4 linked regions of the Xenopus tropicalis genome follow. The protein of the gene in region 1 purifies or fractionates together with the protein of each later gene. This does not show direct contact. Links are inferred from orthologs where the notes say so. Each region holds a gene or a part of one and is shown in the gene's direction. Other genes may lie near its edges.

Evidence for each region.
Region 2: the proteins of cd81 (region 1) and itgb1 purify together in Homo sapiens (affinity purification with western blotting; 4 studies listed by BioGRID and IntAct, with this or other methods). This does not show direct contact. The link is inferred for Xenopus tropicalis from reciprocal best matches to the Homo sapiens genes CD81 and ITGB1.
Region 3: the proteins of cd81 (region 1) and gnb1 purify together in Homo sapiens (co-immunoprecipitation; 4 studies listed by BioGRID and IntAct, with this or other methods). This does not show direct contact. The link is inferred for Xenopus tropicalis from reciprocal best matches to the Homo sapiens genes CD81 and GNB1.
Region 4: the proteins of cd81 (region 1) and ptgfrn purify together in Homo sapiens (co-immunoprecipitation; 7 studies listed by BioGRID and IntAct, with this or other methods). This does not show direct contact. The link is inferred for Xenopus tropicalis from reciprocal best matches to the Homo sapiens genes CD81 and PTGFRN.

What each region holds. Positions count from the first base shown.
Region 1 is NC_030680.2:22,326,099-22,332,984, forward strand, and holds the end of cd81 (CD81 antigen), read left to right. Parts: coding exon 1-61; intron 62-418; coding exon 419-493; intron 494-2,078; coding exon 2,079-2,189; intron 2,190-2,563; coding exon 2,564-2,665; intron 2,666-2,744; coding exon 2,745-2,828; intron 2,829-3,481; coding exon 3,482-3,544; 3' UTR 3,545-4,168; downstream 4,169-6,886. UniProt on the Homo sapiens protein: Structural component of specialized membrane microdomains known as tetraspanin-enriched microdomains (TERMs), which act as platforms for receptor clustering and signaling.
Region 2 is NC_030682.2:22,882,656-22,890,518, forward strand, and holds part of itgb1 (integrin beta-1 precursor), read left to right. Parts: coding exon 1-68; intron 69-1,384; coding exon 1,385-1,601; intron 1,602-1,679; coding exon 1,680-1,850; intron 1,851-2,284; coding exon 2,285-2,523; intron 2,524-3,507; coding exon 3,508-3,663; intron 3,664-3,872; coding exon 3,873-3,968; intron 3,969-4,434; coding exon 4,435-4,524; intron 4,525-4,658; coding exon 4,659-4,799; intron 4,800-5,054; coding exon 5,055-5,257; intron 5,258-5,570; coding exon 5,571-5,809; intron 5,810-6,184; coding exon 6,185-6,407; intron 6,408-7,534; coding exon 7,535-7,767; intron 7,768-7,863.
Region 3 is NC_030683.2:91,945,670-91,952,477, forward strand, and holds the end of gnb1 (guanine nucleotide-binding protein G(I)/G(S)/G(T) subunit beta-1), read left to right. Parts: intron 1-470; coding exon 471-672; intron 673-2,518; coding exon 2,519-2,735; intron 2,736-3,648; coding exon 3,649-3,755; 3' UTR 3,756-3,756; intron 3,757-4,261; 3' UTR 4,262-6,014; downstream 6,015-6,808. UniProt on the Homo sapiens protein: Guanine nucleotide-binding proteins (G proteins) are involved as a modulator or transducer in various transmembrane signaling systems.
Region 4 is NC_030678.2:405,842-413,704, reverse strand, and holds part of ptgfrn (prostaglandin F2 receptor negative regulator), read left to right. Parts: intron 1-42; coding exon 43-465; intron 466-2,886; coding exon 2,887-3,237; intron 3,238-4,226; coding exon 4,227-4,637; intron 4,638-5,150; coding exon 5,151-5,543; intron 5,544-7,863. UniProt on the Homo sapiens protein: Inhibits the binding of prostaglandin F2-alpha (PGF2-alpha) to its specific FP receptor, by decreasing the receptor number rather than the affinity constant. Functional coupling with the prostaglandin F2-alpha receptor seems to occur.

The sequences.
Region 1 (6,886 bases):
GTTTGTGGGATTCCTGGGATGTTATGGGGCCATTCAGGAATCTCAGTGCCTTCTGGGAACGGTAAGTCACAGTTGTTATTCAGAGCTTTCTATTAATCTTAGTCGCAGAGATTTTTTAACAAGTTGCGACAACTAATCGCCACGTGTGTCTTCGCCCTAAGGGTGAAGACACAAGGAGCTACTAGTAGCAGCCACTTTTAATGAAAAGTAGCTGCTACTAAGTAGCTCTGTGTGTCTTCACCCTTATAAGTGAAATGCAGGCAGCAGCCTCTGGCATTGTCCAGTAGCTCAAGGCTGTCTGGGGTCTTTGGTTGTAGTTAAACTACAGCTGGTTGTAAGACCTGCATGAAGACTATAGGCTGTGGGTCAATAAGCTGGTTAGTGTCATTTTTACTCACCAAATGCCATGTATTTGCAGTTCTTTGCGTGCCTGGTGATCCTCTTCGCCTGTGAGGTGGCTGCTGGTATCTGGGGCTTTGTGAACAGGGATCAGGTGAGTATTTATGTAGTTACACTGTCTGGCCAAAGGCTGCTGAGAGGGAGGAATTACTTGTTAATTGTTACAAATAGTACATAAAGCTTCTTGTTCTGGGGGTTGCATCCTTATAGTTTTTGTGTGGTATAACTCCCAGCACCCACAGTTGGGGGTTCTATAGCTCAAGTGCCTCAACCGTGCTCAAATTGTGGTGTGCAGAAATATAAAATGACAAGCCACAGTGCTCAGGGAGGTGCAAGGGATCTCTGTACTCTACACCCCATTCCCCCAACCCACACCCATTTCCTACCAGGGCCACTGCCTAGGGGCCCCCACCCCAGTAGAGCACTCCTGCTTTTTTTATGCCACCCCCTCCCCCTGTCACAGGGGTTTCCGGCACCCACAAGTTCCCGGCAAGGTGCAGGGACATCAGGTTTTTTCCCAGTGACCCGCAGGTGAGTTCATTGCATTGGGAAATCACCCCCCACAGGTTGTGCAATACACCAGTTTGTGTGGTGTAAATGACCCCTAATAAGATGGTTGTACAACATGAAGCAGAAGGAGGGTGGCTGTGTGATAAACTCTTCCTTACTGACAGCCAGTAACGGGCGCATCATTCCAACACAGACAGTGAGGTATGGCCATGGCCACTTCTCCCACTGCCATGTCATGGGGTGCTGACCCTCATCAGGAAGTCCATCTGCATTCCATACCCCTTCCTTAGGCAGCAAAAATACATACTGTGCCTCCCGCCTGTTTCCTTTTCCTCTCATCTGTCACCTGTTTCCCTCTTCTGCTTCCTGTTTCTTCCGTCCTGCTCCCCCCCCCCCCCATTGCTTCCCAGTGCCCTGATAGTAGCCCTGCCTTCAGACTAGCTGTCCATTCACTAATCCTAGATAATTCATATTCATTGGAGTACCCATGCCCAGCTAATATCAGTGTTATTAAAGGGAAAGTAACACCAAAGAATGTTTCAAAGTACATAAAATATAATGTACTGTTGCCCTGCACTGGTAATAGTTCTGTGTTTACTTCAGAAAACCTACTATGATTGTTTTAAATAAGCTGCTGTGTAGCCACGGGGGCAGCCATTCAAGCTGGAAAAAGCAGATAAGGCACAGGTTACATGGTAGATAACAGAAAAGCTCTATATAATACAATGGGAATCTATGCAACTTATCTGTTATCTGCTATGTAACCTGTGCTTTTTCTCCTTTTTTTCATTTTAAATGGCTGCCCCCATGTCTACACAGCAGCGTTGTTTATATAAACTACTGTAGGGTTTTTAAAGCAAAAACTCAACTTTTTAGTACATTATATATATATCAGTTTGATACACTTTAATTTTTTGATGTTACTGTTCCTTTAGCATATTCAAAATAATTGCTCAGTATGATGTCAGTAGTGTTATTCTAGGACAGATTACAATAATGTATCTGTTCTGCAGCTCTCTGGCTTCGGCATTCTGGTTGCTACAGTCAATGACCCTAGAAACCGGATAAGATGAAAGAGAGGCAGAATGAAAAGGCAAATGCCATAATTCACAGGGCCATTTGGGGCCATTCTGCTGCCTTCACTGCTAATATTATACATATTTTGCCAGGTTTCAAAGGAAATGCGGCTTTTCTACAGTGAAGTGTATCAACATGCAACCACCGGGACTAAGGAACAGCAGCAAAAGGCTCTCCCTGTGCTCAAGGCCTTCCATGAGACAGTAAGTGTTAATTACCCTTCAGGGCATCTGGCTGATCAGCCCATGGGCCAAAAAGGCCAGTACTGGCCATACACTAGGTTGTCCAAGTGCTATTATTTCTATCGTTTGGGCCAATAGGCAATTGCAGCTGCAGGAAGTGAAGATGAATTTATTTGCCAACAAGATTTATTGCCGACATACATTCCCAGACACTCAGCAGTCTGCTTTAAATGGGCCAAACTGCCCAATCAAATCTGGCTGTGCATGGCCAACTTTATAAGGAAAAAAACCCTTATCCAATGTGTGTGTTTATTGTACTGAATGTATGCAGTTGCCTGTTATTGTAGTGATGGTCCCCATGTTTCAGCTAAACAGTCTTCTTCTTACCCTTCCAGCTGCAGTGCTGTGGCGACGCCAGTCTTAAAAAATATGTCACCATGAGCATCACCGATATGTGTCCGAAGCGTAGTAATATCCTAGAGCAAATCACCATAGAGGTTAGTATGCCTTTGGACGAAAGGGCTTTGGCACGGCTAGGACCATTCTTTCACACTAATCATTTACATTTTATTTCAGGACTGCCACCAGAAAATTGACGTCCTCTTTTCTACAAAGCTTTATTTGGTTGGCATCGCTGCTGTTGTGGTGGCCGTTATTATGGTAAGAACGCTGCACGCATTCCCTGTGCCTCTGTCTAATCTCCCCCGTCTAACCAGCCAGTATGCATAGCTCTGTGTGAAGGATTCCAGTATCCTATCATGGGCTTCTCCTACCATCAGAGAAATAGTTGCTGTATGGCACGTAGTACTGGTTGGGGGAAACTGGCACGTAGGGTTTTTTTTTTGTTTATTTTTGAATTATTTGCCTTCCTCTTCTGCATCATTCCAGCAAAAAAAAACTATTGCTCTGTAAGGCTACAATGCCATCATTATTGTTAGCTTTTTATTCCTTATCATTCTATTCATTCCCTCTCCTATTCATTTGGCAGTCTGTCATTCAAACCACTGCCTGGTTACTAAGAGAAATAAGCCTTAGCAACCAAATAGTTGTTGAAATACCAAACTGGAGATCTGCCGAACCAAAACAAAAGAAAATACAAAAACAATTGCAGATTGTTTCAGAATATTAATGTCTATGTCATCCTAAAAGTTTATTGAAAGGTGAAGCAGCAAGATAGAAGGTTCTGATCCACTTCTGCTCTTCTGTGCCTTATTACTTATTGCTGTTGTCCTATCCAGGCAGTTTGTTTTGTCCTTTAAATACTTGCATCTCAATTAATCAATTCTGCTTTTTCCCTCTTCTCTCTCCCATAGATCATCGAGATGATATTCAGTATGGTCCTGTGCTGTGGCATCCGGATTTATTCTGTATACTAAGGAACGTCTTTATTCTCCTATGTATATAAATCCTTGTCTTATTCCTCTTCCCCCAAACCCTCCCAACGTCTCCCTTTCAATTTTTTTTTTTTTCTTTTTTAAATATCCTACCCTCTTGGCGATCGAGTCAGTGTCCCGCCAGTGCAGTGGATTCCTAGCTTGGACTATCCCTATGTCTGTATGAGCGATGCTCTAGGTATTTCTTCAACAAGACACTCGGGAATTCGGGTGCCCTTGAATGTATACGGCCTGCTTGCAGGGCTCTGACTTCCAGTTTACAGCTTCTGCGGTCAGAAGGACGCATCATCTTGTGTTTGCCGCGCAATAAGATACTAAAGAGTTCCGTGGTAGGCCGGCTGAATTCAGCCACGTGCTACAATCAAGTCTGTGTGCGTCCGGCCACTCTTTACTTTCTTATTGCTGTCGAGTCACAATCTCTCCCCGTTTCACGTGTAAAAGATGTTGTGTTCGTACTTTTGGGAGAGGAGTCAATCCATATTCCTTGCACGATGGCCCCTATTTCCTACACTCCATCATTACATAGTAAATATATATATAAATATAAACATGTAAAAAGATTCTGATTAAAATCCTTTGGGGGCTTTTTTTTTCCCCCCACTGACACCAAAGTCTTGATTCATTTATTTATGGGGTGAAGGGATGGGGATGATGGGGGAATTCTCTAAAACCTTATGGGCAAAATTTGCTATTGGATAAAAATAAATTCTCCTGTTAAATTATATTATATAAAATAAAAATTAATGTTTATATTTGTGCCAGAAACACATACGCTTTATGGGTGTTTTGCAGACACACAGCAATTAATGCATGCTGCAGACTGAACTGATTTATGTATAGCCATGCAGCATACATTTACAAGCAGGGTGAGGGTGTGCCCAGGATCCTGTATGAGGAGGGCCAGAACTAGGGGGAGGCAGAAGAGACACCTGCCTAGGGTGCAAGGATGAGGGGGCTCCAGGCAGGTACATCTTCTGCCTAACTCTTGTCCATTTTTCTTGCCCTCACACATCGGGGTAAGGAGGCAAACTGGCCAGTCGCATTGCCTTGGGCGCCCAGCTGGCTTGGCACGCCTCTGTGTCTACACCCCTTTGGTTACATTACAGCAGGATATTGATCAAAGCAAAGAAACAGAAAACCCTGTAAGGAACACAGGATATATTTAGAGGCAAACCAAAAGTCTATACAAAATGTAATGAACATTCTAGCAATTTAGCTCCTGGGCACCGATTGTGAGGCACAAATTCCACATTTTATCCCATATTCTGGCACTTTTCAGTCTGAAATCACTCACTAGAGCATTGTTGGATTTAATTACCCATAGGGTTGCCCCTGCACCCAATTAATACATAATCCCTGCATGGCTAGCTAGAAGTTAAAGGGGAACTCCACCCAAACACAACTTCTGATTTTTGAAAAGCAAACACAATTTCAAGCAACTTTGCAGTATACATCAGTTAAAAAAAATATGCAGCCTTTTCATGATTTTTAATGCAATAATATGATTTTGTTATCTAAGCCTAGTCCCCTGTATCCCTGCTGATCTGGCTGACTACTTTGAGACCCTGCACATGTGATGTAAACAAAGAAAGGAACACAGTGCAATGCATTGTGGGTTATGTAGTTCCTGCATGCTGTCTGTAAGCTGTGGAGAAGTTGTTACAATTTGTAACATTAATGTTTTAGTCCCTCCTCCCCTGCCAGGATTTCAATTGATTCAGAAAGAAAGCTGTTTTGCAGCTGGATTTCAGCATATATAAATAGTATTAATTTATACTTATTTGAAGGAACAGATTACAGTGATAGGTATATTGGGGGGTTTCTGTTTTGTGTGTGGCTGTTTTTGGAAGCCGGAGTTCAGCCGGTGATGTATGGCTGCACATAAATCAGTTCAGTCTGCAGCATGCATCTCAATTAGTTGCTAACTAGCCATGCAGGCTGTGGATTCAATATGTTGCTGATGTACAAGGGACGATTTGGCATCACTAGTTACACGTTTCCCATTTAAATGCATGAGAGGCAGCAATGACCATTTTGGGCGCCTCTCCGCTGGCAGAGACTACACCCCCACGTATCAGCCTAAGGATCTTGTTTCCAACAGACAACACAATCTCCACATCGCTTTCAGCTGGCCCAGCCTGAGTACTACATATTCTTTCAAAAGAAGGACAGTTGCAGCGAAGTGGACAACAAGGCCCTGTTAGAAGGCAAAATGCTTTGCTCATCCTGCACAAAGGAGCTGCTCACAGAGTGGGACTTGGAGTTCTGCGCAGCTGTCGCCCGGGAAGCCTTGAGGAGCAACAGATGTACCTCTGTACAATGGAGATCCCTGCACAGGATCATGGGTCATGGCCTTCAGGCTGACAGTTTCTGGCAGGACTGGCAGTTGATAAACCTCTCCCAAGGCCTGGGGGGTTTCTAATTTAAAGGGGAAGTTCATCTTAAAAACTCAAGGGTGAGGTAGACAGTAGTTTTTATTTTATTAAGCACATTGTTTTTGTTAGATTTGGAACTCTGTTATCGTGTAGCTCTGCAAGAAAAATCATTATTTTTCTTGCATACCGTATCTAGGATCCATCTGGGAGTAGGTCCACGTGTAGCACACTGATTAGGCGGTAAGTGCTCCCATGTACTATTATTGTTTTTTCTGCACATCGTGTAGCTCTGGAATAGTATAAGGCTAAGAAATGTAAGCAGTATAAAAATAATGATATCATTGATGCCTCTGAGCTTCTGCTTTCAGGCTGCCTGGGTCACAAGTGAGTAAAAGATTCAGGACATGTATCAGGCGAGGGAAAAGGAAGAGAAAAAAAAATGTAGACGAACAGAGGAAAGCAGAGATCATGGATCTCATTTTATGCATTTGCATTGGCCCATTAGACCCACAGGGATTATTACAGTATGACAGTTTCCCCTTTGAATAGTACAGTTTGGTCTATTTTTATTGGCCCCTCAGCGTTATTGCTCCTCGCTAGTTACTCAACAGTTTCAGTATTCAGTATGGAAACCCAGACCCTAAAAGATAGCAGTGCCAGCCGCCATATAGTGCACTGTTTAATACATATTGTACTGCTATTACTAAAGGGAAACTACGCCCAACCAATTTGTTAGACGCCACCCACTGAGTTTAATCATTTAGCCAATACTCCGGGAAAGTGCTTCTTTTTATAAAACCTGCACCTTATTCTCTATTTTTCCAGACATAACTTTTGCAAGGTAAGGCTTGGCGTATGCATACCCAGGCAGCTGTGATTTTTAAAGAAGAGTAGTCCAGCCCTGGGAGCGTCATAAATTGCCTCCTGGCCTCTGCGCCTATGTTTCAAA
Region 2 (7,863 bases), on another chromosome or scaffold:
AAGCAAATGCCAAATCATGTGGAGAATGTATTCAAGCCGGGCCCAACTGCGGCTGGTGCACTAAAGTGGTGAGTTTTTGCCAGATTTTGTCAAGAGCTCATTAGTAAAACATTTTAGAGGTGTATTTTGGTAGTGCCCAATAATGGGCAGGTATAGATGTGTCACAGCAACTGAACCATACCTTATTACACATAAGAGCATCTTAATGCATAGAACAGAATAAAAGAACTCTACTTAATTAGTGTTACAATAAGCAGAGCAAATTATTTCATAGTCAATGGCTATAAAGCCCCAGATGTCATCTAAGCCTACTTTATTATATCCGGTAGCTGTGCGACTGAGTGACTGTGGCCAGGGAAATACTGCTGTATACATTCCGTTCTCTCATATGACTTCTATATTGAGCAAACTAGAAGATATAGGTCCTAAGTTCTAGAGCAGGGGTAGGGAACCTATGGCTCGGGAGCCAGATGTGGCTCTTTTGATGGCTGCATCTGGCTCGCTGCCAAATCTTTAATAAAAAAAAAAAACTGGGGGTGTGGCCTGCGCTTGGCATATAGAAGACGTGTTCTAAGTCTTAGAAAACGTCTTCTATCCGCCGAACGCAGGCCACGCCCTCCTCCACATCCGGCATCCTTGGCACCCACCCTACCTTGCCCCTGCGCTCGGCGGATAGAAGACGTGTTCTAAGCCTTAGAACATGTCTTCTATCCGCCAAGTGCAGGCCACGCCCTCCTCTGCATCGAATATGCATCCGGCATCCTTGGGGCCCACCCTACCTTGCCCCGCAGCATCCACGGCCAAACATATTGTATGGCTCTCACGGAATTATATTTTAAAAGATGTGGTGTTTATGGCTCTCTCAGCCAAAAAGGTTCCCGACCCCTGTTCCAGAGTATGTCTGAGACATGATGCCCTCCTAATGTAAGCCAATGCTGGAGAGGAAAGGGTGTTAAATAGCTGCAGTTCCTTTCAAGAGAGCCACAGTGATATATTGCCTCCTGTATCATTGGCCTTAGTATTGGTTATTGCCAAAAAAAAAATTAATGACTGCTGAAGTTGCAATAAAGCAAAGGAGTGCCGTCTCTGCCCAGCTAAAGGTGCTTAGTAAAGTCCAGCGATTACTGTATCTTAAACATTACACAGTAATGACATTTGCTTTCTCCTGGAAGAGGCTTCTGGCTATGGAAAATGGCAGAACAGCCCAATACCCTTGTACCATTTAAAATGAATTGTACGAATGGCATCTTTGCTGCACATTTATAGCTGAATCCCACTTTGAATTGAGGTGCAAAAATTAAAACCTTTTAATTTGTTGAATTTCAAGTATATATCCATTATCAGAGTAATTTATATGCCTTCTTTTCCCCGTGGTTAATCTCAGAACTTCTTACAAGAAGGAGAGCCCACGTCAGCACGTTGTGACGATTTGGCTGCTTTGAAAAACAAAGGCTGCCCTGAAGAAGACATCCAAAACCCCAGGGGACGTAAACAAAAGCTAAAAGATATCCCAATAACAAACAAAGGGAAAGGAGAACGTATGGACCCTGCAAACATCACCCAAATCCGACCTCAACAACTGGTATTCGAACTGCGATCAGGTAGGCTCCTAAACCTTAGATAGGGGGCAGCTTTCTCCTCTCCAGCACCATCTAATTGTGTCTGTTGTTTTATGCTAGGTGAACCCCAGACATTTAATTTGACATTCAGAAGAGCAGAAGACTATCCAATTGACCTGTACTATCTTATGGACCTCTCATTTTCTATGAAAGATGACTTGGAGAACGTTAAAAGCCTTGGAACAGCACTAATGACAGAAATGGAGAAAATTACTTCAGATTTCCGGATAGGTACATTTATCTCAAATTACTGTTGCCTAGCTGTATTATATATCAGCACTTGGTAGCCTGATGTCACTAGTCTTATTCCTATGCTTTAATACCTTGCACTATTTGCTGGCACTTATGTGAAATTAGTTACTGTTACATTACAATTATGTAGAAAACAGTAATTGTTACATAGTACTGCCAATTACAGTGTATGTCGCTCCTTAGAAAGCTGGCCATTTTATCCCTCCTTCCTAAATTGATGGGTGCTTACAAGTACCTGTAACTTTCTCTGCATCCTTTGAGAAATACTTTTAAAATGGCATGCCAGTGTATACCATTAGTATAGTCATCAGTTTTAGACCAGCCATGTAAAATTATAAAGGTTTCCTGCCCTTTGGATACTGGCATAAGCAATTCTACCAAACACATTCCTATTTTACTTGTTTTCTCTCTAGGTTTTGGCTCTTTTGTGGAAAAAACAGTCATGCCCTACATAAGCACCACTCCTGCCAAGCTTATTAACCCATGCACAAGTGATCAGAATTGCACCAGCCCATTCAGCTATAAAAATGTCCTCAACCTCACTAGCGACGGAAAGTTGTTTAACGACCTGGTAGGCAAGCAGCAGATCTCCGGTAACTTGGATTCTCCCGAGGGAGGCTTTGATGCAATTATGCAGGTTGCGGTCTGTGGTGTAAGTATTTTTAGCCATTATTTTGATCTTGGTTACGAGACTGTCTGTTCTGTACCACAAGAAAAATCATTAAGGGCATTGGCACATTGTTATGAGCCAAGGGGGTCTGGTCCAAAGGTTGGGCCTAACTGGTTGGGCCTAAGGTCTACCTTAGAATGTATTGTGGTTTTTGGCCTTAGAAATTCTCAAGAACTTTTGGGCAGTATTGGAAGTACATGTAAAAAGTCAAACAGCGTTTGTTTCGCCGCCCCATATAGATAGCTCACACATTTATTTTACTCTGGCTTGAAATTCTGCACCTTTGAGCAGTGTCATGTTTTAGTGGCTTAAATCGGTTGTTCACCTTTAATTTTACTTTTAGTATTATGTAGAGCAATGTTGTCCAACTTATAACATGTAGCAGGCTATTTATCTCATACAGCACAATTCAATTCAAATGATGTCATATAGTGAAGTCAATGGGGTGTTTGAGCAGACTGGGGGATATAAAGATCCTTTGAAGGGCCACGGCCGGCCTGCGGGCCTCCAGTTAGACTGCGCTGATGTAGAGAGTGCTTTTTGAGAGAATTTGCAACTGGACTTCATATTTATTTGCAGTTTTTTGAATTATTTAGCTTTTTGTTCAGCAGCTCTCCAGTTTAGAATTTCAGAAGGTATTTGGTTGCTAGGATCCAATTTAACCTGGCAACCATGTAGTGCTTTAAAAGAGAGACAGGAACATAAAGGAGGAACAGTTTTTTTTTTTTTTGTTTTTTTTTTTACTACTAGGGTCAGGAAAGGCAAATAATTTAACAAGCACCTCTGTTTTGCGCAGAATTTTACAGATCTCCACATTCACAGTGGACAAAGCAAATGAAACGTAGATTACAAAAAAAGCACCATATAGTGATATATATTCTACATGTACTTATGTATTACAAATCCCAGAATAGGAAACCACGTTATGTGACGATTAACATTTTCTGTTTAATGTTTTTCTTAAAGGAGCAAATTGGTTGGAGAAATGTCACACGCTTGCTGGTCTTCTCAACTGACGCAGGATTCCATTTTGCCGGAGATGGAAAATTAGGCGGCATTGTATTGCCAAATGATGGCAAATGTCATTTGCATGGGAACATGTACACAATGAGCCACTATTATGTACGTATCTTGTATTGCCCACGTTACCGTTTTACTCAATAACTTTCTTCACAATTACTGTTTTCTACATAATTGTAATGATTATTCGGTAATCTACAGGTGTGTTTTTTGTTTTTGTTTTGTTTTTTACGTTCAGTGTATTATTGAAAATACTGTAGATACGAATTGTATTTTTGGGTGTTCATTTGTTTTGTTTTGTTATTTTTAAGGACTATCCCTCAATTGCTCACCTAGTTCAGAAACTTAGTGAAAACAACATTCAGACCATTTTTGCTGTTACAGAGGATTTCCAGCCAGTCTACCAGGTATTTATATTTGTTTATGTCTATGGTATATACACATGAATAGTAATAATAATTACTTGAGTTTAAGAGGAAAAAAATAGGTCTGGGAGACAAAAACAAGACTGGAGGGGCGAAAGATCAGAGGCAGAAGGGAAAAGTGCAAGGGTCAGAGAAGGATGGGAGTTTTGGAGAAGGGGGGCAGAAAGAGAAGGGAATAGCAGAGAAAGAATAGAACAAAAAAGTGAACAGAGTAGGTTTGGTGGTAAGTAGTGCTGCTATGGAAGAAATTTCTACTGGGGTGGTCAGCTAAATGCTGCCATATATGACTCTTAACATCAAAGGTATTTTCAAGACGCTGCTGTATGATTGCTAGTAACTGCCATTGTTTTGTCCTTTTCTGTTGAGCAACGGAAAACGGACAGTGGAATGTTAACTTTAATACATTAATGGCTCTGTAACATTATCCATATTTGTGTTTTTTTGACAGGAGCTGAAAAATCTGATACCAAAATCAGCTGTGGGAACCTTGTCCTCAAATTCCAGCAATGTGATTCAACTGATTATTGACTCCTATAATGTAAGTATCTGCCAGAAGTATCCATACCCCTGACGGCACTTTTGGTTTTATAGTTTTGTTCATTACTGTTTCATAGCTCTCTGTTCATTTCTATTGGAATCCAAAATAATCCTAAGTGATCTTTTTGTTTCCAGTCTCTTTCCTCTGAACTTATTTTGGAAAACAGCAAATTGCCAGAGGGTGTAACAATCAGCTATAAATCATTCTGTAAGAATGGAGTCAAGGGAACTGGGGAGGATGGAAGGAAATGTTCAAACATTTCTATTGGAGATCAGGTGAGTTCCCAACACATTTAGGCCTATGAAACCCCCTTGATTTGGACTATAGTAAACCTATTTGCTTGTTTCATGCAAGCAATCCCTGCTTATCAGCATAGGCATCCCTTTTTCCTATTCAAACAAATGTGAAGCAGCTGCTTGCAGGAAAGGTTGTTTGGGTTAAAAATCATGCAATGTCCACCAAAGTGGATGTGCGGTGCAGTACATAATGTGTCCAAGTAAGTGGATACTAACAGAGTTGCTTTCTTACAGGTGGAATTTGAAATTAGTGTGACAGCTCACAAGTGCCCCAAAAAAGGACAAGCGGAATCCATAAAAATCAAACCACTTGGATTTACCGAAGAAGTAGAGATTGTTCTCCAGTTCATCTGTGAATGTGATTGCCAGGAAAAAGGGACGCCCAACAGCCCTGAATGTCATCATGGAAATGGAACATTCGAATGTGGTGCCTGCAGGTATTGTGCTTCCTTGCATTTATTGGGCATCAGTGCACTTTAAAGCCCTGGCTTGAAATCCCTCTGTGCATAATGCCTTATTTTTTTAAATGTATATATTGTTAATACATCACATGTCATTTTTAAATTGCCAATTTTATTCATAGTGCAGTGGATATAAATGGCTAATAAATAAGAGTAGTAGAGCTTCAGTTGGTTGAAGTGGCCAAAAGGAATTTGTAAACGTGCCTCTACAACAGGATCTTATCCACAGCCAATCCAGCTCCTCTTTTCAGCTATAAAATAATAAATCGCTATGCTGTTTCCATGACAGATGTAATGAGGGGCGCATTGGGAAGGAGTGTGAATGCAGCACCGATGAAGTAAACAGCGAAGATATGGACGCTTATTGTCGAAGAGAAAATAGCTCTGAAATCTGCAGTAACAACGGGGACTGTATATGCGGCCAGTGTGTGTGCAAAAAACGGGACAATCCCAATGAAGTTTACTCCGGCAAGTACTGTGAATGCGACAACTTCAACTGTGACAGATCCAATGGGCTGATTTGTGGAGGTAAGAATCGATCACATAATTTATATGTTTCAGAGGGCAGAAACACCAGCTGCAGTCTTGCATTCATTCAGTCTCAGTACTTTATTATTAGTCTTTATAGAGTGCTGACTGGTCATGCAGCACTTTATAGCACTTTATGCATCATTCTGATCCGTCCCTGCCCCAGTGGAGCTTACAATCAAAGGTGCTTATCACATTCACACACGAACACTAGGGTCAGTTTTATCAGAATCCAGTTAACCTGCCTGTGTGTTTTAAGCATTCCTTTTGCAAAGCATAAGTAGAACATACAAACTCCTTGCATTCACTGGCAACTGTTGTAAGGGTTACTAAAGATGTTTGAAATTGTAAAATCAAACCATATTTTTGTTACAGGTAAAGGCGTGTGCAAGTGTCGAGTATGTGAATGTTTCCCCAATTACTCCGGCAGTGCTTGTGACTGCTCAGAGGATACCTCCACTTGTATGGCAAAAAATGGCCAGATATGTAACGGGAGAGGAATATGTGACTGTGGAAGGTGTAAATGTACAGATCCTAAATTCCAAGGACCAACCTGTGAACTGTGTCAGACCTGCGTTGGTGTTTGTACGGAGCACAAGTAAGTGACTTTCTGGTAATGGAGACTGTGTGGTCTTAAAGGAACAGTAACACCAAAAAATAAATAGGTGTATCAAGTAATTAGGTTATAACACACTAGTACAAGTTGTTGTGTGTTTGCTTCAGGAACACTATCATATTTTATATAAACAAAGATACAGTGTAGCCATAGGGATAGCTGTTCAAATTGAAATAGGGCTAAATGGCACAGGTTTCGTGCAGCCTGTAAACACTATCATATTCTACAGAGCTTATCTGTTATCTGCTATGGAACCACCCTTTTTTCCAACTATTTATATAAACTATAGTAGTCTTTCTGAAGAAAACACACAACTTTTACCAGTGCAGGGCAACAGCACATTGTGTTTTAAACCTGTGCCTTTTCTCCTTTGAATGGCTGCCCCATGGCTTCACAGCAGCTAACTTATATAAACTATAGTAGTCTTTCTGAGGCAAACACACCAGTTGTAGTAATGCAGGGCAACAGTATATTATATTATTACTTTTATACACTTTCATTTTTTGGTGTTACTGTTCCTTTAAGGGTGAAGACACATGGGGCTACTTGTAGCAGCTACTTGTTGTGGCTTCTAATGACTCTGCCGATGAACGGGGATGTACAAGTCGGGATGCCTCTGTACAAGTCGGAGGCAGACTGTTATGATCTTAATATGAGAAATTATGTGTGTTTGTGTAGACAAGTATATTTATTTTCGACCGTTCAGATACTGTATATGCCTCTTATACAGACAGAGGATATATATATATATATATTTTTTAAAAGCTAAGTGGACCTTCCAATATCTCCCAGTGCTGTAATCATCAATCTTTTATTTTTAAAGGGATGTTGCCTCTTGTACCCTTTACCTTTATACCATTTAAATCAATTACAGAGCATCTTATGAAGAGTACCATTTATTGTTAAAGGCTTTGCTGCCCTTTTGGTTACGAAAAGGATGAATTCTGCTTATTCTCGCATTGCCCGCTCCTGTCTGCTGCACATACAGTGCGTGTGGCTGGTCTCTGTGAATTCTTCCAACTTCTGCAAGAATCTGGAGAGCAAACTCTCCAACAGTCTGATATTATTAAAAGAAGTTTTATTTACTAACAGTATATTTTATTTTACAGAGAATGTGTCCAGTGCCGAGCTTTCCAGAAAGGAGAGAAGCAAGAAGTATGCCTGGAGCAGTGCATGCACTTTAACATCTCTTTAGTGGAAAGTCGGGAAGACTTGCCCCAGCCAGGCCAGGCAGAAGCCCTCACACACTGTAAGGAAAAGGATGCAGAAGACTGCTGGTTTTACTTCACGTATTCAGTCGATTCAAAGAATGAAGTTCTGGTGCATGTGGTGAAGGAGCCAGGTAATTGTTCTGTTCATGACATGACATAAAAGTGGCTGAACAAACAGAGAAACAGCAAAAATTAATTAGAAATATGTCTATGAGTGATGGGTTGTA
Region 3 (6,808 bases), on another chromosome or scaffold:
CTAAAGAAAGCTACTGTACTGCTGTCAGCATAGTATTTCCCTGTACTGTGAAAGTATTATAAAATATCCCTTAAAGCAGTAGGAAAGATATAGTCACTGGGGCCAAATGTTAGCCACTCCCAGTGATTGTAATCGCTTACCTGATACCTCAGGCCAGTGCTCCTGTCAGCTAACATTTTGGCACCCCCCCAGTGATCATACCTTTCTGTCTCCTTTAATAGCAGAAATAGGCTTCTGTTCATAATTAGGATTTATGTTCTATACAAACTTTTCACAATTTAGAGAGATGGGGGGGGCTAATTTGTCAGTGTATGAAGAATGACTTGGCCTAGCTGCCTGTTTAGCATCAGAGAAGCTTCCATCTTTTCTTTTATATTTATATAATATATATATATAGTGTGTGTGTATATATATAATATGTGTTTCTGTGCCTTTTGATGCTTTGAGCTCATCTGTCTCTTTCTGAACAGTGCCCTTTGGGACATTGAAACTGGCCAGCAGACAACAACCTTTACTGGACACACTGGGGATGTTATGAGCCTGTCCTTAGCTCCAGATTCCAGGTGCTTCGTGTCTGGAGCCTGTGATGCATCTGCCAAACTTTGGGACATTCGAGAAGGAATGTGTAGACAAACCTTCACTGGACATGAGTCGGACATAAATGCCATCTGTGTAAGTCTATGTGACCACCTGTTTCTATCCAAACTTGTCTTATCCATATGACTGCCAAAAGGTTTGCCATGTTAAGGGCACGTTGGGTAAAGTATGGCTACGCAACACTCTTTTCATGTAGCATAAATTTAAAGTGCATCTATCGACTCCCATATTGTTTCCCCCTCCAGAGGTTGGGCTAATAGAGCCTGCACGCCAGTTGGGTAAAACGATAGTTTTACCCAACTGGTGTTTTAACCCCGGCCTGGAGCGAGCTCCCGGTGCAGGCGACCATGTTTGGCTTGCATGCGTATATTGAGCAAATCTCACCGCTCACTCATTTATACACATGCCCCTGGCATGGGAGCGTTGGATGCAACTCACCCTCCTACATCATGCATGCACATAATGAACGAGTTGTGGCACTCGCTTATTATGCGCATGTGTTACAATATGGCTGCCTGCACCAGAAGCTCCCTCCTGGTGGGGGTAGCCTAGCACTGGCAGGGGGCATTTGAATAAAAAAAAATCAACACTGCGGGTAACTATCCAAAATAATTAAACAACAAATTAGGCTACATATACTACACTTTATATTGTGGGTTTCTGTACCAGACCAAAGCCACTACCTCCCTTTAGCAGATGAAAGGAAAACTAAAGCTTAACTAAAGAAGTAGGCTAGAAATGTAGTACCAGCCCAAGGCAACCACAGCCTTCTGCTGATTCACTGCACAATCTCTGTGTTGTTACTGAGCTTAGGGAACCAGTCACAATGAACTGTATATATAGAATATAAATGTCACAATATAAGGCTGATAAGTAATCAATACAAATAATTGCTGCTTGGCAGCTCAGAAACCAATGCAATTAGCATCAGAATTTAATAATCAGCTCCCAAGCGTCTTCCCCCCTATGACAGACAAACCTCATTTTCTGCTTGATAATTTGCTAAGAACCCCAAGCTTAGATTTTCAACAGCTGCCCAAAGCACATTGAGCATGTCACTGACACTTCTAACAGATTCCAATTTGATGACCCCCTTTGACAACTTTGAAGTACTGGATTGTTGCTACTATAGCGATGCTGAACCCTTTAGGTTGGTGCAGTAAGTTCAGTATATAAAATATGGTATTTCTAGTCACATTTATTTTTAGGGTTTATTTCTAAAAAAAATCTGTGTCTCTTGATACTACCTCGGCCAGTCCCCATCCTCTTTCTGCTTATTCACAGCACATGTTCTGTTTTGCTGTCAGTTACCTGAGAATAGGCACTGACTCATAATATACACTATATATACTTTGACATTATATGGGTGATTAGTAACTGACTTATAGTGAGGCTGACTGGTAATCTGATTAGTAATTGATTCATATGAGCACACAGAAACACAAATAATGGAAGATCTTAACTTGCCTTTTGAATTCTTAATGCAAAGGCAATAACCTAAGTTTCTTATGTGGGAGAAAGGTCATAGGGCCCACTATTGGGGGGTAAAACGATCACTGGCTAACTATAAAACTAACCATCCATCAAGTTAATATAGTTTCTCATGTTTGTGCTGACTTTTTACATATGTACAATAACAAAAATCTAAAATTATAAGTTACAAAAAATAAAAAATTAACAATCCTCTCTTCCTCTGTTTTTAAAATCTCCTGTTAAAGTATAGAATTTTCAAATGGCCAATCATAAGAAATGCAATCAGGCACAGCCAATTTCTGTAATAATTGTCTACAATAATATGGTACCGAGTTTAATTTAATTAACACACCTTGATATTATTTTAGTAACACACATTGATGTTTTATTAATAGATATGTAGATTTGTGTATATATTAACTAATTTTTAATGTCATTCTGTTTTCAGTTCTTCCCCAATGGCAATGCTTTTGCCACTGGTTCAGATGATGCCACCTGCAGGCTGTTTGACCTTCGGGCTGACCAGGAACTGATGGTTTATTCACATGATAATATTATCTGTGGCATCACCTCTGTAGCATTCTCCAAGAGTGGACGCCTCCTCCTAGCTGGATATGATGACTTTAATTGCAATGTCTGGGACACACTTAAGGCTGATAGAGCTGGTATGGCTGCCGATTAATGGGCATATTATTTACATTGTTTTTAATTCAGATTTTTTTCATTTTTTTTTTTTTTTAGCTTTTTTAACCTGATATTTGTATTTTGGGATAAACACTTCTATGCTACACATTTCTTAATTGTATACACAAGCAAGCTTATGACAGCAAACATAGTTTTTTGTAATTTTCATAGTAGCTATAACATGCTTCTTTAAAGCATAAAGCTGATTATATTCAAAATGAAGCAGTGCGGAGTAGTACCATGACTCCTGCAGCTATTCTCTCTAACTGCTGGCTCTTAAATTGGGTGATGCTTCTTACTTCCCTGAATTCTTTGCCCTGTGCTGGATGTATAGTTGCCATAAATTATTTGTTCACTTAATAGCCGGAGCAGATAAGGGATGTGCACTTCATAAGAGCACTGCTCTTGCATTTTTTGTTTCAGCAGATAGAGCGGTACTAAGTGACAATTTGTGCCTTGTTGCATCTCTTTGGGGCACACTTGCATATGCATTCCCCTATTCATCTTTGGCTCTGATAAATGTTAATAGGATCTCTTTTGGGGTAATTGATGGAATATTTTCTAAATCAAACTGGTTAACTGTAAAAGGCACTATGACACCTAAAGCCAAAACAAGACACAGGACTGCTATCTTTGAGAAGTGGTACAGACTTATTTACATTAAAGAAAGTACATTTAGTTGCCTTTAAACCATGAAGTGATCACTCCAGGTTCTCCAGTTTCATGAAAGCTGGCTGCCTTTCTGATTGATTCACAGGATCTTTGGCCTCTGGGTAATTTTAGCAATGGACACATTACATTCCACACATTAAACAAGACACAATGCTTCCTGTTTTAAGATCTAAAACCTCTTTACATTATACTTCACTAAACTTTTCCTTTTTATGTGCCTAGGTGTTCTTGCTGGTCATGATAATCGTGTAAGTTGCTTGGGAGTAACAGATGATGGCATGGCAGTGGCAACAGGGTCATGGGACAGCTTCCTCAAGATCTGGAACTAAAGTAGGTTCAAATGGTGTTTGTTGTTGTTGTAGCTAGTAGTACTACTAATCAGAAAAAATGGTTGGTTGTTGCTTGGTACGACCTTAATGGAGTTTGTGTAGCTGAACGGCCCCTTACATATGTTTCTCATAGTGGCTAATATGTATGTTTTCTAGCAGCATGTACAAAGACATGCCATAAATATGTGCTTGCATAGGCATTCCACTGTACTAAGCATTCTTTTGCTATGAAATTAAAGGGAGCTTTTGTTTTTTTGTAAGGTATAGATACACACCCTCACTAATCAGTTTGGGGGATCTTGAAAGACAAACGTTTCCTTTTCGATGACCCCAGTTACAGCCACATTATCTACATGTGTAAAGTTGAGAACATTTTCATTATCAGGAAATATGTTTTGATCCTCATTTTGTATTTGTTTCCCTATTTGTTCTTCACCACCCAATGGAAAGGATAAATGAGTTTGTGTCAGTGTAAATTAAAGCAGAGTTTTTATCTTTCTTTCTAGATACTAAGCGGGCTTCTCCGTGACTGGAAGACCATTCCAACCTTCAAAAATTTTAAATCATAGCATATCCGATCCAACCATACTAACGTGGACACCCTTTCTCCCTATTCCTATACATCAAAGGGCAGAAAACTCTCCCCTTATTTTGCTGAAACGAAGAGCACAATTATTTGCTATAGGAAGATTTGTTTTGTTTTGTTTTGTTTTGGTCTCTGAAACAGAATTGTTCATTCCTTTTGGGACCGTTTATTCCATTATTCCCTCTTTACTTACTTTTTTTTATTTGATTTTCTTTCTCTTCTCTACATCTCGTCTTGAAGATTAATGATACAAAACACTATACAGTAAAGACATACAGTTAGCTTTGTTAAGCAGAAAGTGAGTTTCATGAAAGTTTACCTGAAGGTCCTTGATAAGTCTGTCCAGATTGCCATTTTGTAGAGTCTGGTGCACTTGCAGGTATGGAAAATCTGCAGCTATATAAAAACAAAAAGGATTTTAAAATGAGAAGTTTACTTATTGTGGTTTTTATTTTTTACTTTGGTCCATTAAGTGAAGGTGGAACTTGAGTCTGTGTGTCAGGACATACTGTTAGCCCTGTCCCTGTAGAGTTTCTTGTGAAAACTTGCACAGAAAGTGGCCAAGTTAATAACACACAAGTGTAAACTATCCACATGCCCTCTATTAAATAACTTCAATGGGTAGGTTGCTCCAGCGATTGAGTTATTTTTGATGGCCAAATGCTAGGAAATGGTTATAACACAATGCCTGGAATGCCAATGTATTGATAGGGCCATTTGAGAATTAAAAGATCCATTTGATAATGGATTGTGTCTCCAGGCTGCCCAGAACATGGCACCATTAATAATAAACTGTTCCCTGTACACCTTAACCATATCCTACACCTCATCATATACTAACTCCTCTATGATTGAGACCATGCAGAATTGCAGAGCAATGTGCCGGAGCTCAGTCTGTTCAGGATAATCCCAGAAACCCCCTTAAAGCCAGTAAAGGGTGCTGCAAGGGTTCCAACCAGAGGAAAACATATTTCTTTTTTTCTCTAAGTATGTACATCATGAGGATTTGCACCCGTATCAAGCCCAGCTAAGCTTATTTGAGGAGTGTGAAAGATCCTTATTATTTTTTGAATACTAACCTCTTTTCCTGCGGGGATTGAAGGAAAATGATCCCCAAATGTAATGTAGAGGAGTCTTATTGGTGCTTTATGCTCTTATGGTTTTCACTTTACAGAAAAGGAATAAAAGGATCGTTTACCAAGTTATTTTAATGTTTAATCAATACCGACCTTCACTTTCTGAAGCATGTCAAATCCTTATCCACAGAACCCTGAATAATAACCCAAGTTCCTCCTAACCAAACACTGGGGAAAAGAAGTTAAAGAGAAAGGGTAACTTTCACAAGCGCTACCCTCGTCCCATCTCCTAGATTAGAATCAACCGTGGACAGAAGTACATATCTGTTCGTTCGGATATACATTCAGATGTGTATGAAATGATGTACAAATTAATGTTTTTGAAAATAATGATCTTGAACTTTCTAAGTTAAATCTTACGAAAGCTTTTATTCTTTTGTTGGCGGGGAGGGGGGGTGTGTTTGCCATAGGGATGGGTTTTCCTCTTAGGGTTGCATGCTGTAGAGTTGCTTAATAATGTGCAAATAGAAAAAAAAAGTCCTTAGATGTTTTTTTTGTTTTTTTTTTCCTTTTAAAGAAATAACCTGTTTAAAAAAACAAAAACAACAAAAAAAAGAAGAAATAACTATTGCGGTTGTGCTCATTTTTTTTTTTTTATTTTATAATCACCGCTACTCTGTGTATACATTTTCAAAGACGTTCAGTGCAAAAAGAAAAAAAAATGAGCACTTTGAAGAGTAGCCTAATTCACTTTTTTTTAACAAATAATAAACATCCTGTTCAAACGATTACATAAAATTCAAAAATGTTTTTTTTTTTTTTTTTTTTTCAGGAAGGGTTGGGAAATGTGAAATTAAACTTGATTCTTCTGGTTTAAGTTGATGCTTCTCAGCCAGTTCTTGTAGAAAAAGGATCTTGCATCTAATCTTTTTATTTTTATGGTTCTTGCAAGAACAGCTTTCCCCGCCTCTTATTTCTCTTTCAAATCAATCTGCTGCTCTCTTGTTGGGATCTGGGAGCCAGGGCTCCGCCACAGGAAAGTAGGCAAGCGGTAAAATGTAACTCGATAGCTTTTCCCTCCTCATTGTATATGAAAGATACTCAACCTTTCGCAGTAGCGGCTTTTACAAATTTTTTTTTTCTTCTAAACTTTCTGTACAAAAAAAAGTGCTGTAATTGTGCGTTAGGCCGGGACCTGGCAGAAAAAGAGATGCCCCCTCCCACTTCTTGCATAAATTACTCTGTAGAGCTCTCTGCACCCCCTTTCCCTTTCACCTTTTGTATTTAATTTTAAAGTCAGTGTACTACAAGAACGCTGGATGCAAGATAGATACTATATTAAAATGTACTGTTATTTAAGATGTAATAAAGCAGTTTGACATGAGTTTATA
Region 4 (7,863 bases), on another chromosome or scaffold:
GTCTCCCTTCTTGCCCTCACTCGTGTCCTTCTCTCTGCCCAGTGATCCCGGACACCCTGACGGTGCGGAGCACAAAGGGACGGCTGGGGGGCACGCGGACCCTAACGGAAGGGGGCTCATTTCAGCTGCAGTGCCAGGCGCTCTCGGGCGACTCGTCGGATCACACTCACCTGTCTCTTACCTGGCAGCACCAAGGCCCAGAGGGCTCAGCCGCTGACGTTCTCACTCTGTCCCATTTGGGGCGCTTCCAGCCCGGCCCAGGGTATGAGGAGCGATACAGCAGTGGGAGAGTCAGGCTGGACACCATGGGGGGCGACGGGTACCGCCTGGCAGTGGATGGGGCCCTCAGTGCTGATGCGGGAGAGTACAGCTGTGTGGCACGGACGTGGGTTCTGGGCCCTGAAGGCTGGGCACCGATCCAGGAGAAGAAGATTTCTGTTTCTAGAGTAGAGGTGCAACCTATGGGTAGGTTCTGGTACTGACTCTAGAATAGGGTGCAACCCATGGGTAGGTTCTGGTACTGACTCTAGAATAAGGAGCAACCCATGGGTAGGTTCTGGTACTGACTCTAGAATAGGGGTGCAACCTATGGCTAGGTTCTGGTACTGACTCTAGAACATGGGAGGGGCCCATGGGTAGGTTCTGGTACTGACTCTAGAACAGGGGAGGGGCCCATGGGTAGGTTCTGGTACTGACTCTAGAATAGGGGAGGGACCCATGGGTAGGTTCTGGTACTGACTCTAGAACAGGGGTGGGACCCATGGGTAGGTTCTGGTACTGACTCTAGAATAGGGGAGGGGCCCATGGGTAGGTTCTGGTACTGACTCTAGAACAGGGGTGGGACCCATGGGTATGTTCTGGTACTGACTCTAGAATAGGGGAGGGACCCATGGATAGGTTCTGGTACTGACTCGAGAATAGGGTGCAACCTATGGGTAGGTTCTGGTACTGACTCTAGAATAGGGTGCAACCTATGGGTAGGTTCTGGTACTGACTCTAGAACAGGGGAGGGGCCCATGGGTAGGTTCTGGTACTGACTCTAGAATAGGGTGCAACCTATGGGTAGGTTCTGGTACTGACTCTAGAATAGGGGAGGGACCCATGGGTAGGTTCTGGTACTGACTCTAGAATAGGGGAGGGACCCATGGGTAGGTTCTGGTACTGACTCTAGAATAGGGGAGGGGCCCATGGGTAGGTTCTGGTACTGACTCTAGAATAGGGGAGGGACCCATGGGTAGGTTCTGGTACTGACTCTAGAATAGGGGAGGGACCCATGGGTAGGTTCTGGTACTGACTCTAGAATAGGGGAGGGGCCCATGGGTAGGTTCTGGTACTGACTCTAGAATAGGGTGCAACCTATGGGTAGGTTCTGGTACTGACTCTAGAATAGGGTGCAACCCATGGGTAGGTTCTGGTACTGACTCTAGAACAGGGGAGGGCCCATGGGTAGGTTCTGGTACTGACTCTAGAATAGGGTGCAACCTATGGGTAGGTTCTGGTACTGACTCTAGAATAGGGGAGGGGCCCATGGGTAGGTTCTGGTACTGACTCTAGAATAAGGAGCAACCCATGGGTAGGTTCTGGTACTGACTCTAGAATAAGGAGCAACCCATGGGTAGGTTCTGGTACTGACTCTAGAATAGGGGAGGGGCCCATGGGTAGGTTCTGGTACTGACTCTAGAATAAGGAGCAACCCATGGGTAGGTTCTGGTACTGACTCTAGAATAAGGAGCAACCCATGGGTAGGTTCTGGTACTGACTCTGGAATAAGGTGCAACCCATGGGTAGGTTCTGGTACTGACTCTAGAATAGGGTGCAACCTATGGGTAGGTTCTGGTACTGACTCTAGAATAGGGTGCAACCTATGGGTAGGTTCTGGTACTGACTCTAGAACAGGGGAGGGGCCCATGGGTAGGTTCTGGTACTGGCTCTAGAATAGGGGAGGGGCCCATGGGTAGGTTCTGGTCCCCTAGTGCCACCCTAATGCCTCCTTCCCTTGCAGGTATCAGTGTGCCAGTCCCCTAGTGCCACCCTAATGCCTCCTTCCCTTGCAGGTATCAGTGTGCCAGTCCCCTAGTGCCACCCTAATGCCTCCTTTCTGTGCAGGTATTAGTGTGCCAGTCCCCTAGTGCCACCCTAATGCCTCCTTCCTGTGCAGGTATCAATGTGCCAGTCCCCTAGTGCCACCCTAATGCCTCCTTCCTGTGCAGGTATCAGTGTGCCAGTCCCCTAGTGCCACCCTAATGCCTCCTTCCTGTGGCAGGTATCAGTGTGCCAGTCCCCTAGTGCCACCCTAATGCCTCCTTCCTGTGCAGGTATCAGTGTGCCAGTCCCTAGTGCCACCCTAATGCCTCCTTCCTGTGCAGGTATCAGTGTGCCAGTCCCCTAGTGCCACCCTAATGCCTCCTTCCTGTGCAGGTATCAATGTGCCAGTCCCCTAGTGCCACCCTAATGCCTCCTTCCTGTGCAGGTATCAGTGTGCCAGTCCCCTAGTGCCACCCTAATGCCTCCTTCCTGTGCAGGTATCAGTGTGCCAGTCCCCTAGTGCCACCCTAATGCCTCCTTCCTGTGCAGGTATCAATGTGCCAGTCCCCTAGTGCCACCCTAATGCCTCCTTCCTGTGCAGGTATCAGTGTGCCAGTCCCCTAGTGCCACCCTAATGCCTCCTTCCTGTGCAGGTATCAGTGTGCCAGTCCCCTAGTGCCACCCTAATGCCTCCTTTCTGTGCAGGTATCAATGTGCCAGTCCCCTAGTGCCACCCTAATGCCTCCTTCCTGTGCAGGTATCAATGTGCCAGTCCCCTAGTGCCACCCTAATGCCTCCTTCCTGTGCAGGTATCAATGTGCCAGTCCCCTAGTGCCACCCTAATGCCTCCTTTCTGTGCAGGTATGAATGTGACGGTGCCAGCCCCAGTGGTGCGTGGGAATGCGGGGGAGCCCCTGCGCCTCTCCTGCCGGGTGTGGCACAACTCCGCTGCGCCAGTCTGTACCCGTGTGCGATGGTTTCTATCTGCTCAGCAGGCACCCAGCCCTGAAGAACGGCAGGAGTTGCTGGGTGGGCGCGACCCTGATCCTACCCACGAGGGGGCAAGCACACACCTCCTGGAAGTGCCACGTGGGTGGGACGCAGGGCACTACAGCTGCCAGGCTACAGTCTGGGCCCCGGGCAGTAATGGCACCTGGCACCCAATCATGGAGAGGAGCACGGAGCCCATCAACGTGCTGCCCAATTCAGCGGGTAAATATGAGAGTGGCACACAGGTCTCTCTGTGCCTGGGCACCTTTGCCACTCTCTCACTCTTTGTATGGCAGTGCCATTCTCTGTGCCAGTGTGTGTGCCATTCTCTGTGCCAGTGTGTGGCATTCTCTGTGCCAGTGTGTGCCATTCCCTGTGCCAGTGTGTGTGTGCCATTCTCTGTGCCAGTGTGTGTGTGTGCCATTCCCTGTGCCAGTGTGTGTGCCATTCCCTGTGCCAGTGTGTGTGTGCCATTCTCTGTGCCAGTGTGTGCCATTCTCTGGGCCATTCTCTGTGCGTGTGTGCCATTCTCTGTGCCAGTGTGTGTGCCATTCTCTGTGCCAGTGTGTGCCATTCTCTGTGCCAGTGTGTGTGCCATTCCCTGTGCCGGTGTGTGTGCCATTCCCTGTGCCGGTGTGTGCGCCATTCCCTGTGCCGGTGTGTGCGCCATTCCCTGTGCCAGTGTGTGTGCCATTCCCTGTGCCAGTGTGTGTGCCATTCTTGTGCCGGTGTGTGTGCCATTCTTGTGCCGGTGTGTGTGCCATTCTTGTGCCGGTGTGTGTGCCAGTGTGTGTGCCATTCCCTGTGCCGGTGTGTGCGCCATTCCCTGTGCCAGTGTGTGCGCCATTCCCTGTGCCAGTGTGTGTGCCATTCTTGTGCCGGTGTGTGTGCCATTCTTGTGCCGGTGTGTGTGCCATTCTTGTGCCGGTGTGTGTGCCATTCTTGTGCCGGTGTGTGTGCCATTCTTGTGCCGGTGTGTGTGCCATTCTTGTGCCGGTGTGTGTGCCATTCTTGTGCCGGTGTGTGTGCCATTCTTGTGCCGGTGTGTGTGCCATTCTCTGTGCCAGTGTGTGTGCCATTCCCTGTGCTGGTGTGTGTGCCATTCCCTGTGCCAGTGTGTTTCTGTGCCCGTGTCCCCTCTCTCCGTCTCACCTTCCCCCCCCCCCTTGCCCCCTTGGCACTCATACCAGTTTCTCTCCCCACATTGGCAGTGCCAGAGCTGGAGGTGTCGCTGAATGCCACCCTTACGCCCCAGTTCTCGGAGGAGCCGACGGAGCTTGTGTGCCACATGAGTGGATCTGACGGTGCCCGCCTGTCCGTGTCCTGGTACCACAGCCCCAGCCCAGAGAGCAGGGCATCCCCGCCGGTGCTTGTGGGGTCCCTGGGGCAGGACTGGTCAGTGAGTGTGGGGGAGCGCTACACGGAGCGCCTGGAGAGCGGGGGGCTTATCCTTTCCCGCAGGGGCCCCCAGGCCTTTGTGCTGCGCATCCAATGGACTTCCAACGGGGACCGGGGGCAGTACCGCTGTGTGGGCACCGTCTGGGAGCAGCAGCGCAACGAGAGCTGGGCACCGAGCAGGGAGGTGGCATCCCCCCCCATCAGCATCTCCTGGGAGCAAGAAGGTAGGGGCAGCCGGGCCACAAGCCCATAGCTATTGCTACAGGGAGGGGTAACAAGCTGTCACATGATCAGCCAGTCCCTGGTAGGTAGGTTGGCAGGCAATACTTACTGTGCTTTGGGGACACTTATAACAAATATACACAGTTAATGGCTGCCGCCCTGCCAGGGCCACAACTGCAGCTTAAACCCACCTGTCCTCTCTCTCCTGGCACAGACTGGAGCTCAGTGATAGGCTGAGTGGAAAGGGAAGTCCCTCCCATGCTGAGCATATAGGCCAATGGGAATAAGGCAATCATTAGTAGAGTACTGGAGCTCAGTGATAGGTTGAGTGGAAAGGGAAGTCCCTCCCATGCTGAGAATATAGGCCAATGGGAATAAGGCTAACATTAGTAGAGTAAGTCCCTCCCATGCGGTGTGTATATAACTAAAAGGCAGGGGGGGTTCCAGGCGGTGGGAGGGTTGGGCGGTGCCAGTCCCCCCCCATGAGTGAGTTGGTACAATCTCTTGCCTTGCAGAGTATTCGCTGGCAGTCAGGGCCTCGGTGACCAGGGCTGTGGCAGTTTCGGGGGGCACCTTTGAGATGCAGTGCCACGTCACTACCCGGAACATCCCCTCCCCCCGATACTCTGTGCAAGTGGCAATGGAACCGTCGGGCCCCCACAGTGGCCCCCAAGTCCTACTGCTGAGCCGAGACGGACTGACCCACAGGAAGGGGGAGAGCTTTGGCAAAGCCGCGCTGGAGAAGGTGAAGGAGGGCGAGTACCGATTCCGGCTGTACCAGGCGCAGGCGCAGGAGGCGGGCACCTACCGCTGCTCCATTACCGCTTGGACCCCGGGAGGGGGCGGGGCCTGGAGGGAAGCCAAGAACCAGACGTCCAATCCAGTGGCTTTGCAGTTCCAGAACTCAGGTAGGGGGTAATAGGGAGGCCTGGGGGGGGCATCAGGGGGCTGCACTTGGGGTACAGTGAGACTGGGGGCCCTGCCCAAACACACCCCCATCCCCCCCAGTGTCGGGGTACAGTGAGGCCTTTGTATAGCGCACAGATCTGGGGGCCCTGCCCAAACACACCCCCATCCCCCCCAGTGTCGGGGTACAGTGAGGCCTGTGTATAGCGTGCAGATCTGGGGGCCCTGCCCAAACACACCCCCATCCCCCCCAGTGTCGGGGTACAGTGAGGCCTTTGTATAGCGTGCAGATCTGGGGGCCCTGCCCAAACACACCCCCATCCCCCCCAGTGTCGGGGTACAGTGAGGCCTTTGTATAGCGCGCAGATCTGGGGGCCCTGCCCAAACACACCCCCATCCCCCCCAGTGTCGGGGTACAGTGAGGCCTGTGTATAGCGTGCAGATCTGGGGGCCCTGCCCAAACACACCCCCATCCCCCCCAGTGTCGGGGTACAGTGAGGCCTTTGTATAGCGTGCAGATCTGGGGGCCCTGCCCAAACACACCCCCATCCCCCCCAGTGTCGGGGTACAGCGAGGCCTTTGTATAGCGCACAGATCTGGGGGCCCTGCCCAAACACACCCCCATCCCCCCCAGTGTCGGGGTACAGTGAGGCCTGTGTATAGCGCACAGATCTGGGGGCCCTGCCCAAACACACCCCCATCCCCCCCAGTGTCGGGGTACAGTGAGGTCTGTGTATAGCGCACAGATCTGGGGGCCCTGCCCAAACACACCCCCATCCCCCCCAGTGTCGGGGTACAGTGAGGTCTGTGTATAGCGCACAGATCTGGGGGCCCTGCCCAAACACACCCCCATCCCCCCCAGTGTCGGGGTACAGTGAGGTCTGTGTATAGCGTGCAGATCTGGGGGCCCTGCCCAAACACACCCCCATCCCCCCCAGTGTCGGGGTACAGTGAGGCCTGTGTATAGCGCACAGATCTGGGGGCCCTGCCCAAACACACCCCCATCCCCCCCCAGTGTCGGGGTACAGTGAGGCCTTTGTATAGCGCGCAGATCTGGGGGCCCTGCCCAAACACACCCCCATCCCCCCCAGTGTCGGGGTACAGTGAGGCCTTTGTATAGCGCGCAGATCTGGGGGCCCTGCCCAAACACACCGCCATCCCCCCCAGTGTCGGGGTACAGCGAGGCCTTTGTATAGCGTGCAGATCTGGGGGCCCTGCCCAAACACACCCCCATCCCCCCCAGTGTCGGGGTACAGTGAGGTCTGTGTATAGCGCGCAGATCTGGGGGCCCTGCCCAAACACACCCCCATCCTCCCCAGTGTCGGGGTACAGCGAGGCCTTTGTATAGCGTGCAGATCTGGGGGCCCTGCCCAAACACACCCCCATCCCCCCCAGTGTCGGGGTACAGGGAGGCCTGTGTATAGCGTGCAGATCTGGGGGCCCTGCCCAAACACACCCCCATCCCCCCAGTGTCGGGGTACAGTGAGGCCTGTGTATAGCGTGCAGATCTGGGGGCCCTGCCCAAAAACACCCCCATCCTCCCCAGTGTCGGGGTACAGTGAGGCCTGTGTATAGCGTGCAGATCTGGGGGCCCTGCCCAAACACACCCCCATCCCCCCCCAGTGTCGGGGTACAGTGAGGCCTGTGTATAGCGTGCAGATCTGGGGGCCCTGCCCAAACACACCCCCATCCCCCCCAGTGTCGGGGTACAGTGAGGTCTGTGTATAGCGTGCAGATCTGGGGGCCCTGCCCAAACACACCCCCATCCCCCCCAGTGTCGGGGTACAGGGAGGCCTGTGTATAGCGTGCAGATCTGGGGGCCCTGCCCAAACACACCCCCATCCCCCCCAGTGTCGGGGTACAGTGAGGCCTGTGTATAGCGTGCAGATCTGGGGGCCCTGCCCAAACACACCCCCATCCCCCCCAGTGTCGGGGTACAGTGAGGCCTGTGTATAGCGTGCAGATCTGGGGGCCCTGCCCAAACACACCCCCATCCCCCCAGTGTCGGGGTACAGTGAGGCCTGTGTATAGCGTGCAGATCTGGGGGCCCTGCCCAAACACACCCCCATCCCCCCCCAGTGTCGGGGTACAGTGAGGCCTGTGTATAGCGTGCAGATCTGGGGGCCCTGCCCAAACACACCCCCATCCCCCCCCAGTGTCGGGGTACAGTGAGGTCTGTGTATAGCGTGCAGATCTGGGGGCCCTGCCCAAACACACCCCCATCCCCCCCAGTGTCGGGGTACAGTGAGGCCTGTGTATAGCGTGCAGATCTGGGGGCCCTGCCCAAACACACCCCCATCCCCCCCAGTGTCGGGGTACAGT